2 linked regions of the Coturnix japonica genome follow. The protein of the gene in region 2 purifies or fractionates together with the protein of the main gene of each other region. This does not show direct contact. Links are inferred from orthologs where the notes say so. Each region holds a gene or a part of one and is shown on either strand. Other genes may lie near its edges.

Region 1 (4,279 bases), on a different chromosome or scaffold from region 2:
CTCGTGTTCCACGTTATGGCTGGTGAGGGAAAAGAATCATCAAGGAGGCTGGGTACAATCACATCCACCTGGTGATATGGCACCTTGGTGGCAGAGGGGGGAAGAAACTGAAGAATATGCCAACAAAAATGGGTGGATTCTGCACAATAAAGAAGTGTCACATTCTTGGGTCAGTGTGGAAATGTATTTTATAAGCCAAACGTTGTCACGTGGAAGCATCACAACAGGCTGTGTGGAAAAACACATCGAGCATGAATTCCCTGCACATAGTGAAGTGTGGCAGTGTGAAAAGCTGCTCACAGCCCACAGGGAGAGGGAGGAGATGGATAAATCCCATTGCGTGATCCCTGCAGCAGCTTCAGCCCCGCACTGAGCGGGGACACCCACAGCTTCATCAGTGCTCAGAGCCCCATCCAGCCTGACCATGGGTGTCTGCAGGCACCACCACCTTTCCGTGCACCCTGTGCCATTCCTCACCCCCCTCTCTGCAAACAGCTTCTTTACATCCAATTGAAGTTTACATCCCTTTTAAAACCGTTTCCCCTTGTCCTGACGCACAGACCCACCTTTCTTATAGCTCCCCTTCAGCTCGCTCTCCTGTCGCCCCGGAGGGCTGGCAGTGTCCATTAGTTCTCCCGTGTAGGAATCACCCCGCTGCCAGTTCCTGCCCCAGCCGTGCCAATAACCCACTGCGGTGCCGATAACCCACTGCAATGCCAATAACCCACTGCAATGCCAATAACCCACTGGGTGCCAATAACCCACTGCAATGCCAATAACCCACTGCAGTGCCAATAACCCACTGCGGTGCCAATAACCCACTGCAATGCCAATAACCCACTGCGGTGCCAATAACCCACTGCAATGCCAACAACCCACTGCAATGCCAATAACCACTGCAATGCCACAATTAACCCACTGCAATGCCAATAAACCACTGCAATGCCAATAAACCCACTGCGAATGTCAATAACCCAACTGCAGTGCCCAATAACCATGCGGTGCCAATAACCCACTCGGTGCCATATAACCCACTGCAAATGGCCATAACCCAGCTGGGTGCCAATAACCCACTGCAATGCAATAAACCCACTGCAGTGCAATAACCCACTGGTGCCAATAACCCATGCAATTGCCAATAACCCACTGGGTGCCAATCAACCCACTGCAATGCCCATAACCACTGGGTGCCCAATAACCCACTGCAATGCCAATAACCCACTGCAGTGCCAATAACCCACTGGTTGCCATATACCCCACTGCGTTTGCCCATACCCGCCGCGCCGCTCGCTCCTCCCGCCCGCTGGGTGGCGCTGTGCTCCGTCCCCGCCGGTTCCTGTCTCTTTAAGCCGGGCTGTGTCGCTCCGCTCCCATGTTGCTCCGCGGCGGGCGGCGTGGATTTTAAATCCTCCGGACCAATGAGGAGCCGCCGCGGGCGCGTAACGCTCGGGGGCCGCGTTTGAATCGGTCTGAGCGCCGCACATAGAGACACAGCGACACAGCGCGTCCCGCACGGCTCCGCTTCGGGGTTCGGATCCGGTTCGGTTCCGCCTCATTCGGCTTTGACTGCAGTTCTCAGCTCGGACAGCGGCACCATGAACGCGGCGGGCGGCAAAGCCCGACCGGTGGCTGCGGTGGAACCGGCCCGATCGGGTGGAGCGACGGCGGCTGCGGGTAAAGAGGTTCCGAAGGTTCTGCTGGACCCGCGGACCAGGCGCAGTTACGTGCGGGGCCGGTTCCTGGGCAAGGGCGGCTTCGCTCGGTGCTACGAACTGACCGAGAACGAGAGCAGGGAGGTGTTCGCTGGGAAAGTGGTGCCCAAATCGCTGCTGGCCAAACCGCACCAGAAGGAGAAAATGTCGATGGAGATCGCCATCCACCGCAGCCTGGCGCACCAGCACGTCGTGGGCTTCCAGGGGTTCTTCGAGGACAGCGATTTCGTCTACGTGGTGCTGGAGCTGTGCCGCCGCAGGGTGAGGGCGGGGGGTGCGGGTGGGGGCTGAGCGGGATGGGAGCTGGGTGACCAACACCCCGACCAACACCCCATCACCGTGACCAACACCCCCATCCCTATGTGCTCTTATCCCCGAGTGTTCTTATCCCTATGTGCTCTTATCCCCGTGTGTTCTTATCCCTATGTGCTCTTATCCCCGTGTGTTCTTATCCCCGCAGTCACTGCTGGAGCTGCACAAGCGGCGGAAGGCGCTGAGCGAGCCCGAGGTGCGTTATTACCTGCGGCAAACCATCCTGGGCTGCCAGTACCTGCACAGCCAGCGCGTCATCCACCGAGACCTCAAGCTGGGAAACCTCTTCCTTAGCGATGACATGGAGGTGAAGATCGGTAGGTGTCGGGGTGCGGTGCCTGCAGGACCCCCATGGCTGTCCCACCCCACCTGGGTTCTCTCATTGCTCCCATCTCTGTGTCTCCCCAAGGTGACTTTGGCTTGGCCACCAAAGTGGAGTATGATGGTGAGCGCAAGAAGACCCTGTGTGGGACCCCCAACTACATCGCCCCAGAGGTGCTGGGCAAGAAGGGGCACAGCTTTGAAGTGGATGTGTGGTCCATTGGCTGCATCATGTGAGTCAAAGTGTCTCCTGCAGGGCTGTGAGGTCCCTGTGCCCCACATCCTGTTGGCCCCTGTGAGGTTCTGGTGTATCCTGCAGCTATGGATGTGCTGTATCCAGCACACTGCCATGGCTGCTGGCACCTGACCTCCCTGGTGCTCTGGGGGAGGGAGGGGAATAAATCTAACACACTTCCATGTCTACAAACACACAGGTATACTCTGCTGGTGGGGAAACCACCTTTTGAAACCTCTTGTCTCAAAGAAACATACCTCCGAATCAAGAAGAATGAGTATACTATTCCCAAGGTAAAGTACTTCTCATGGGTGGGTCTATTCATCTTGCAGCCGTTCTTGTACCATCCCATTTCTGGCACTCAGTGGGCTCTCACATAATAGTGAAGCAGCTATTATCACAGTGAGATGGGAAGGGGCTGTATCAATCAGTGGCAGAGTGAACCTGTATGGTTCTGTCTCCCAGGCTTATGTCCTGCTTGCCTGACCCAGAGCTGTGCTCTGAGCAGAACCTGTTGTATTATACAGAGCAGATGCCACTAATGTGTGCTTGTCCTTCTGCTTGACTCACAACTCTGCCTGTCTCCTCCTAGCACATCAACCCTGTAGCTGCTAACCTCATTCAGAAGATGCTGAGATCTGACCCTGCCACGCGCCCAACTATCAATGAGTTGCTGAACGATGAGTTCTTCACATCAGGGTACATCCCCAGCCGCCTGCCCACCAGCTGTCTCACTGTTGCACCTCGGTTTTCAATCGCTCCCAGCACACTTGAACTGAATGGGCGAAAGCCACTGACGGCACTCAACAAAGGTAAGAGGAGGCGTCTGGAAGTGAGGGCTGAGGACTGCAGCACTGGATGAGTGCCTGCCTGGCCTCTAGCAACACACAGACCCATCTGTGGGGAATATAGTGCTGCCTCACCTACTCTCCCAGTTCTCATGATAACTAGAACATATCGTGTCTGGGAGTTCTCCTTGTTCTTTGTCCAGAACCAAAGCAGGGAGCAGTTCAGCTATGAGGTGCATAATGTGTTTCTTATAACTAGGGTAGCATGTAAATTGGTGCTTTTAGAAACTTGCTGCTCATGTTTCTGCAATCTTCTCTTTTTTTTCTGGCCCAGGACCAGAAAGCCCTGCATTAGAAAACCTGCCTGAAAAGGAAGATGCAGCTGGGCTGCGGGAGGTGGGAGACAGCATTGAGTGTCACTTAGCAGACATGTTACAGCAGCTGACTGCAGTCAACTCAGCCAAACCCTCTGAGAGAACTGCAGTGAGACAAGGTGAGTCTGGGGACAATCCCACAGGCACTGACATTTTTGGACAACTTGCTTCTGTCATTGATGCCTCTTGGCTGAACTGAGGGACCAACTGACCTCAGCTTCAACCTGAAAGGCAGAAAAGCAATGTGGAAGCTACTTACCTTCCTCTTGGCCTTGCTTGCTGTGCTGCACAGCATGCCTTAAAATGTCTTCTAACAAACTCCTTTTCTCCTTGCAGAAGAAGCTGAAGACCCAGCCTGTATTCCCATCTTTTGGGTTAGCAAATGGGTGGACTACTCGGATAAGTATGGTCTAGGTAAATAACATGATGGCAGTACTTCAGCCTTTTCTAGCTCCTAAAGCAGCTGGTAGAAGTCCTGATCTGTGCTCAGTGTAGATTTAGTTCTTAAATCATGATCAGTGTTTGCATTCAAGAGTA
Region 2 (4,040 bases):
CAGTTTGTGCTGCCGGCCCTGCCTGGGGCTCAGCCTGACACAGAGACACAGAGCCCGACCCCCCTGTGCTTTGCTGTCAGTACCAAGCGGTGCTTCCCCGCAGATCCCACGGGTGGACGGCGAGTACAACCTGAAGGTGCCTCGGGACATGGCGTATGTGTTCAGCGGGGCCTACACGCCCCTGAGCTGCAAGATCATCGAGCAGGTCGGTGCCCCCAGGTGCTCTCAGTGCTGCCCTGTGCCCAGAGCTGCCCTGATCTGTGCTATGCTGTGTTGTGCTGTGCTATACTGTGCTATACCATGCCATGCTATACCGTGCTATGTGGTACTGTGCTATACTGTGCTATACCATGCCATGCTATACCGTGCTATGTGGTACTGTGCTATACTGTGCTATACCATGCCGTGCTATACCGTGCTGTGCGGTGCCGTGCAGGTGCTGGAGCGTCGCGGCTGGCAGGGCCTGGAGGAGGTGCTGCGGCTGCTGAACGGGAGCGAGTTCTCCATGGCCGGTAGGAGCCGTGTTGGGGTGTCGGGGGTCGGTGCCGGGCGGGGCCGTTGTGACGCCGTGTCCCGCAGACGGAGCGATGGAGGATGGCGCTGCACAGCGCGTGGTGCTGGCCGTGTTCATTGGGGGCTGCAGCTACTCCGAGATGGCGGCGCTGCGATTCGTGGGCAGGGAGAGAGGTACGGGATGGGGGGGAGAGGGACGGGACGGGACGGGGGTTCAGCGTTGGGGCCGTGTGTGTTAGTGCTGCCCATGTTGCCGTGCTGTCCCCGCCCTCAGGTTACCGGTTCATCTTCCTGACCACCGGCATCACCAGCAGCTCCCGTGTGATGGAGGCCATGGCCGAGCACAAGGTGTGACAGCGCTGGGGCGGGGCGGGCTGCGCTGCGGGGCCCGGCCCGCTCAATAAACGCCGCCGTCCAGTCCGACCCTGTCTGGTACCGTCCGTCTCGGCCCGGTTTATCCCGGTTCATCCCGGTTCCATCCCGGTTCATCCCGGTCCATCCCGGTTCATCCCGGTTCCGTCCCGAGGCGTCATTCAAAGCCGAGCGGCGCGCGCGTTTCTGTGTCACGTGATCGGCGTCAAAAGTCGCGCGTGCGCAGTGCGGCGGAGCGCCGCTCAGAGCCCAGCGGCCGCACGCAGCCGTTCCGGCTCGCGATTGGGCGGACGCCCCGACGGCGCTTGGCTGCCATTGGCTGACAGCCGGCTGGGGGCGGGACCTGGGGAGCGGTTGTGGGCGGGGCCAGGCGCGAAGCTTCAGCCAATGAGCGGCTGAGGAACCAGAGTTTGAATCGGCGGCTGCGGGCGGCGGAGAGTGGGGACATGAGGAGGAGGTACGGGAACGGGAACGGGAAAGGAAACGGGGAAGGGGATGGGAGACGGGAACGGAAACGGGATACGGAACGGGGAACGGACTGGGATACGGGAACGGGAAATGGGAACTGGAAACGGAACGGGAATACGGACGGGAACGGGGAAGGGAATGGGAACGGGAACGGAACGGGAGACGGGAGTGGAACGGGGACGGGAACGGGAACGGGACGGGAACGGGGAAGGGAACGGTTACGGGGAACGGGAACGGCGTACGGGACCGCGGATGGGAGACGGGAACGGAAACGGGACGGGAACGGGGAACGGGAACGGAACGGGATGGGGACGGGGACGGGAACGGGGGATGGAGTACGGAACGGGAACGGACGGGAAACGGGACGGAACGGGAACGGGAATGGCGACGGGACGGGAACGGAAACGGGAACGGGATGGGAACGGGAACGGGAACGGAAACGGGAATGGAACGGAACGGGAACGGGAATGGGAACGGGAACGGACGGAACGGAGCGGGAATGGGGCAACGGGAATGGGGAGTGGGGATGGGAACGGGAAGAATGGGCTGTGATACGGGGATGGGGCCCGGGGCCGCGGCGGGGAGCGGGGGGAGCAGTGGTGCGGGGTGCGGTGTCCCGGTGTCGTTGTCGGGTGTTGGCGGTGCCCGGTGGCTGTCGCGGCCGCCCTCGGAGCCGCTCCGCCGTTAGCGAGTGCTGGCGGCCGAGGCCGTGACGGCCTGAAACTCGCGCCCTGTCCGCCGCCTGGCGGGACATATGGTGAGCGATCGGCAATCGCCCGAGGGAACTGCGGCTCGAGCGACCGGGGCTGTGAAGAGACACCTGTCAAAGGTTCAGCGGGGCGGGGTCGGGAGCGGGGGATCGGGGGAGGGGGCGGGCGCGGGACGGGGACGGCGCCGTGCTGTGTGTTCCTGCATGCCCTGTGCTGTGCTGTGCCTTCGTGCTGTGTTGTGACATGTGCTCCCATGCTGTGCCGTGTTGTGTGGCTCGTCTGGGTTGTGCTTCATCTCGTGCTGTGTGTTTGTGTTGTGTGTGCTCCATGCGTGCTGTGTTGTAGCTGTGTTGTGTTTGTTTGTGCTCCAATGCTGTGCTGTGTTGTGTTGTGTGTGCTCCATGCTGGTGCTGTGCTGTGTTGTGTTGTGCGCGTGCTGTGGCTGTGTTGTGTTGTTATCGCTCCATGCCGGCTGTGCGTGGCCTTATTGTAAACTGTATTTTGCTCCATGCTGCCGTGTTGTACGCGTGTTTTTGCTCATGCCGTCTGTGCCTCAGAAACCTGCTGGACATTGATGGTGGCGTGAGGAGAGCGCCTGGAGGGAGGCAGATGCGCAGACCGTGGCCGTGTACAGGAAGAGCTGGACGGCCCTTCTGTGCCGTAAGCTGCACGCCGAGCCTTCCAGGTGAAGAGCGCACAACAGGAGCCTGCCACCGGGAGCTAGGTGAGCCCGAAGGCTTCACCCAACGACAACGGCCCGGGGTGGGCGCTGGGAAGGCCGCCAGCAAGAGCCTGTGGATGCAGCCGTGGGTATGCAGCGCTGTGGGATGCTGCGCTGTGGGTGCAGCCACTGGGGATCCAGTGCCGTGATGCAGGCGCTGTGGGATGCTGCGCTGTGGGATGCAGCGCTGTGGGATGCAGCGCTGTGGGATGCAGCGCTGTGGGATGCAGCGCTGTGGGATGCAGCGCTGTGGGGTGCTGCGCTGTGGGATGCAGCGCTGTGGGATGCAGCGCTGTGGGATGCAGCGCTGTGGATGCAGCGCTAGTGGAAATGCAGCGCTGGTGGCTGATGCAAGCGTGCGATGGCATGCAGGGCTGTGGGATGCTTGCGCTGTGGGGATGCTAGCGCTGTGGGATGCAGCGCCTGTGGGAAATGACCGTGCGTGGGATGCAGCGCGCTGTGGGTTGCAGGCGCTGTGTGGATGCAGCTCTGTGGGAGCCAGCGCTTGGGGATGGCAGCGCCGTGGATGCCAGCTGCTGTTGTATGTCAGCGCTGTGGGAGTGCAGGCGCTGTGGGGGATGCGAAGCGGGCGCTGTGGTGCTGTGCTGTGCGGAGGCCAGGCGCTGTGGGGTGCTGTGGCTGTGGGATGCAGCGCTGTGGGATGCAGCGCTGTGGGAATGCAGCGCTGTGGGATGCAGCGCTGTGGGATGCTGTGCTGTGGGGTGCTGTGCTGTGGGAAGCCCAGGGAGCACTCCACTGAGCTCTGGAGCTGCATCCCAGTTCTCTGCTCCCAAACCTCCAAGTACCTGAGTTGCATCCCAGAGAACTGCAGAATGAGCCCTGATCCCGCGCTTCCTTCGAGACGCAGAGGGACACCCATCCTGCAAGATGGTGAATTGAATTTACGGCCCGCGTTAGTGCGTGCTGAAGCAGAAGAAGGACAGGAAAGCAGGAGCGAAGGCCTCTGCAGAGAACAGATACGAGAACCTGTGCGAGCATCCTCTGCGTGTCCTCTTCAGCATTGATGATCGGTGCCGGTGCCCACGGACGAGCTGGACGCGCTAACCGACGTCCACGTGCCCAACTCAGCGCAGAGAAGGTAGGCGGGAGGGGCCCAGAAGCATCTGGGAGGTTGGGGGCTGGGAGGTGCCGCAACCGGGTCCTTCAAGGAGGCTGCTCATCTCAAGGAGCGAAGGCAAGAAGAATTTTCTAGCAATCAAGCGGCAGGGTGGCAGTGCAACTGCGAGCTGGAGCAC

Evidence for each region.
Region 1: the proteins of PRC1 (region 2) and PLK1 purify together in Homo sapiens (affinity purification with western blotting; 4 studies listed by BioGRID and IntAct, with this or other methods). This does not show direct contact. The link is inferred for Coturnix japonica from reciprocal best matches to the Homo sapiens genes PRC1 and PLK1.

What each region holds. Positions count from the first base shown.
Region 1 is NC_029529.1:6,809,626-6,813,904, forward strand, and holds the start of PLK1 (serine/threonine-protein kinase PLK1), read left to right. Parts: upstream 1-1,413; 5' UTR 1,414-1,595; coding exon 1,596-1,973; intron 1,974-2,172; coding exon 2,173-2,341; intron 2,342-2,433; coding exon 2,434-2,578; intron 2,579-2,779; coding exon 2,780-2,873; intron 2,874-3,172; coding exon 3,173-3,392; intron 3,393-3,702; coding exon 3,703-3,861; intron 3,862-4,078; coding exon 4,079-4,156; intron 4,157-4,279. UniProt on the Homo sapiens protein: Serine/threonine-protein kinase that performs several important functions throughout M phase of the cell cycle, including the regulation of centrosome maturation and spindle assembly, the removal of cohesins from chromosome arms, the inactivation of anaphase-promoting complex/cyclosome (APC/C) inhibitors, and the regulation of mitotic exit and cytokinesis.
Region 2 is NC_029525.1:18,211,384-18,215,423, forward strand, and holds the start of PRC1 (protein regulator of cytokinesis 1), read left to right. Parts: upstream 1-1,208; 5' UTR 1,209-1,331; coding exon 1,332-1,342; intron 1,343-4,040. Other genes in the region: VPS33B (vacuolar protein sorting-associated protein 33B), read left to right, coding at 104-205, 437-512, 580-687, 788-867. UniProt on the Homo sapiens protein: Key regulator of cytokinesis that cross-links antiparrallel microtubules at an average distance of 35 nM. Essential for controlling the spatiotemporal formation of the midzone and successful cytokinesis.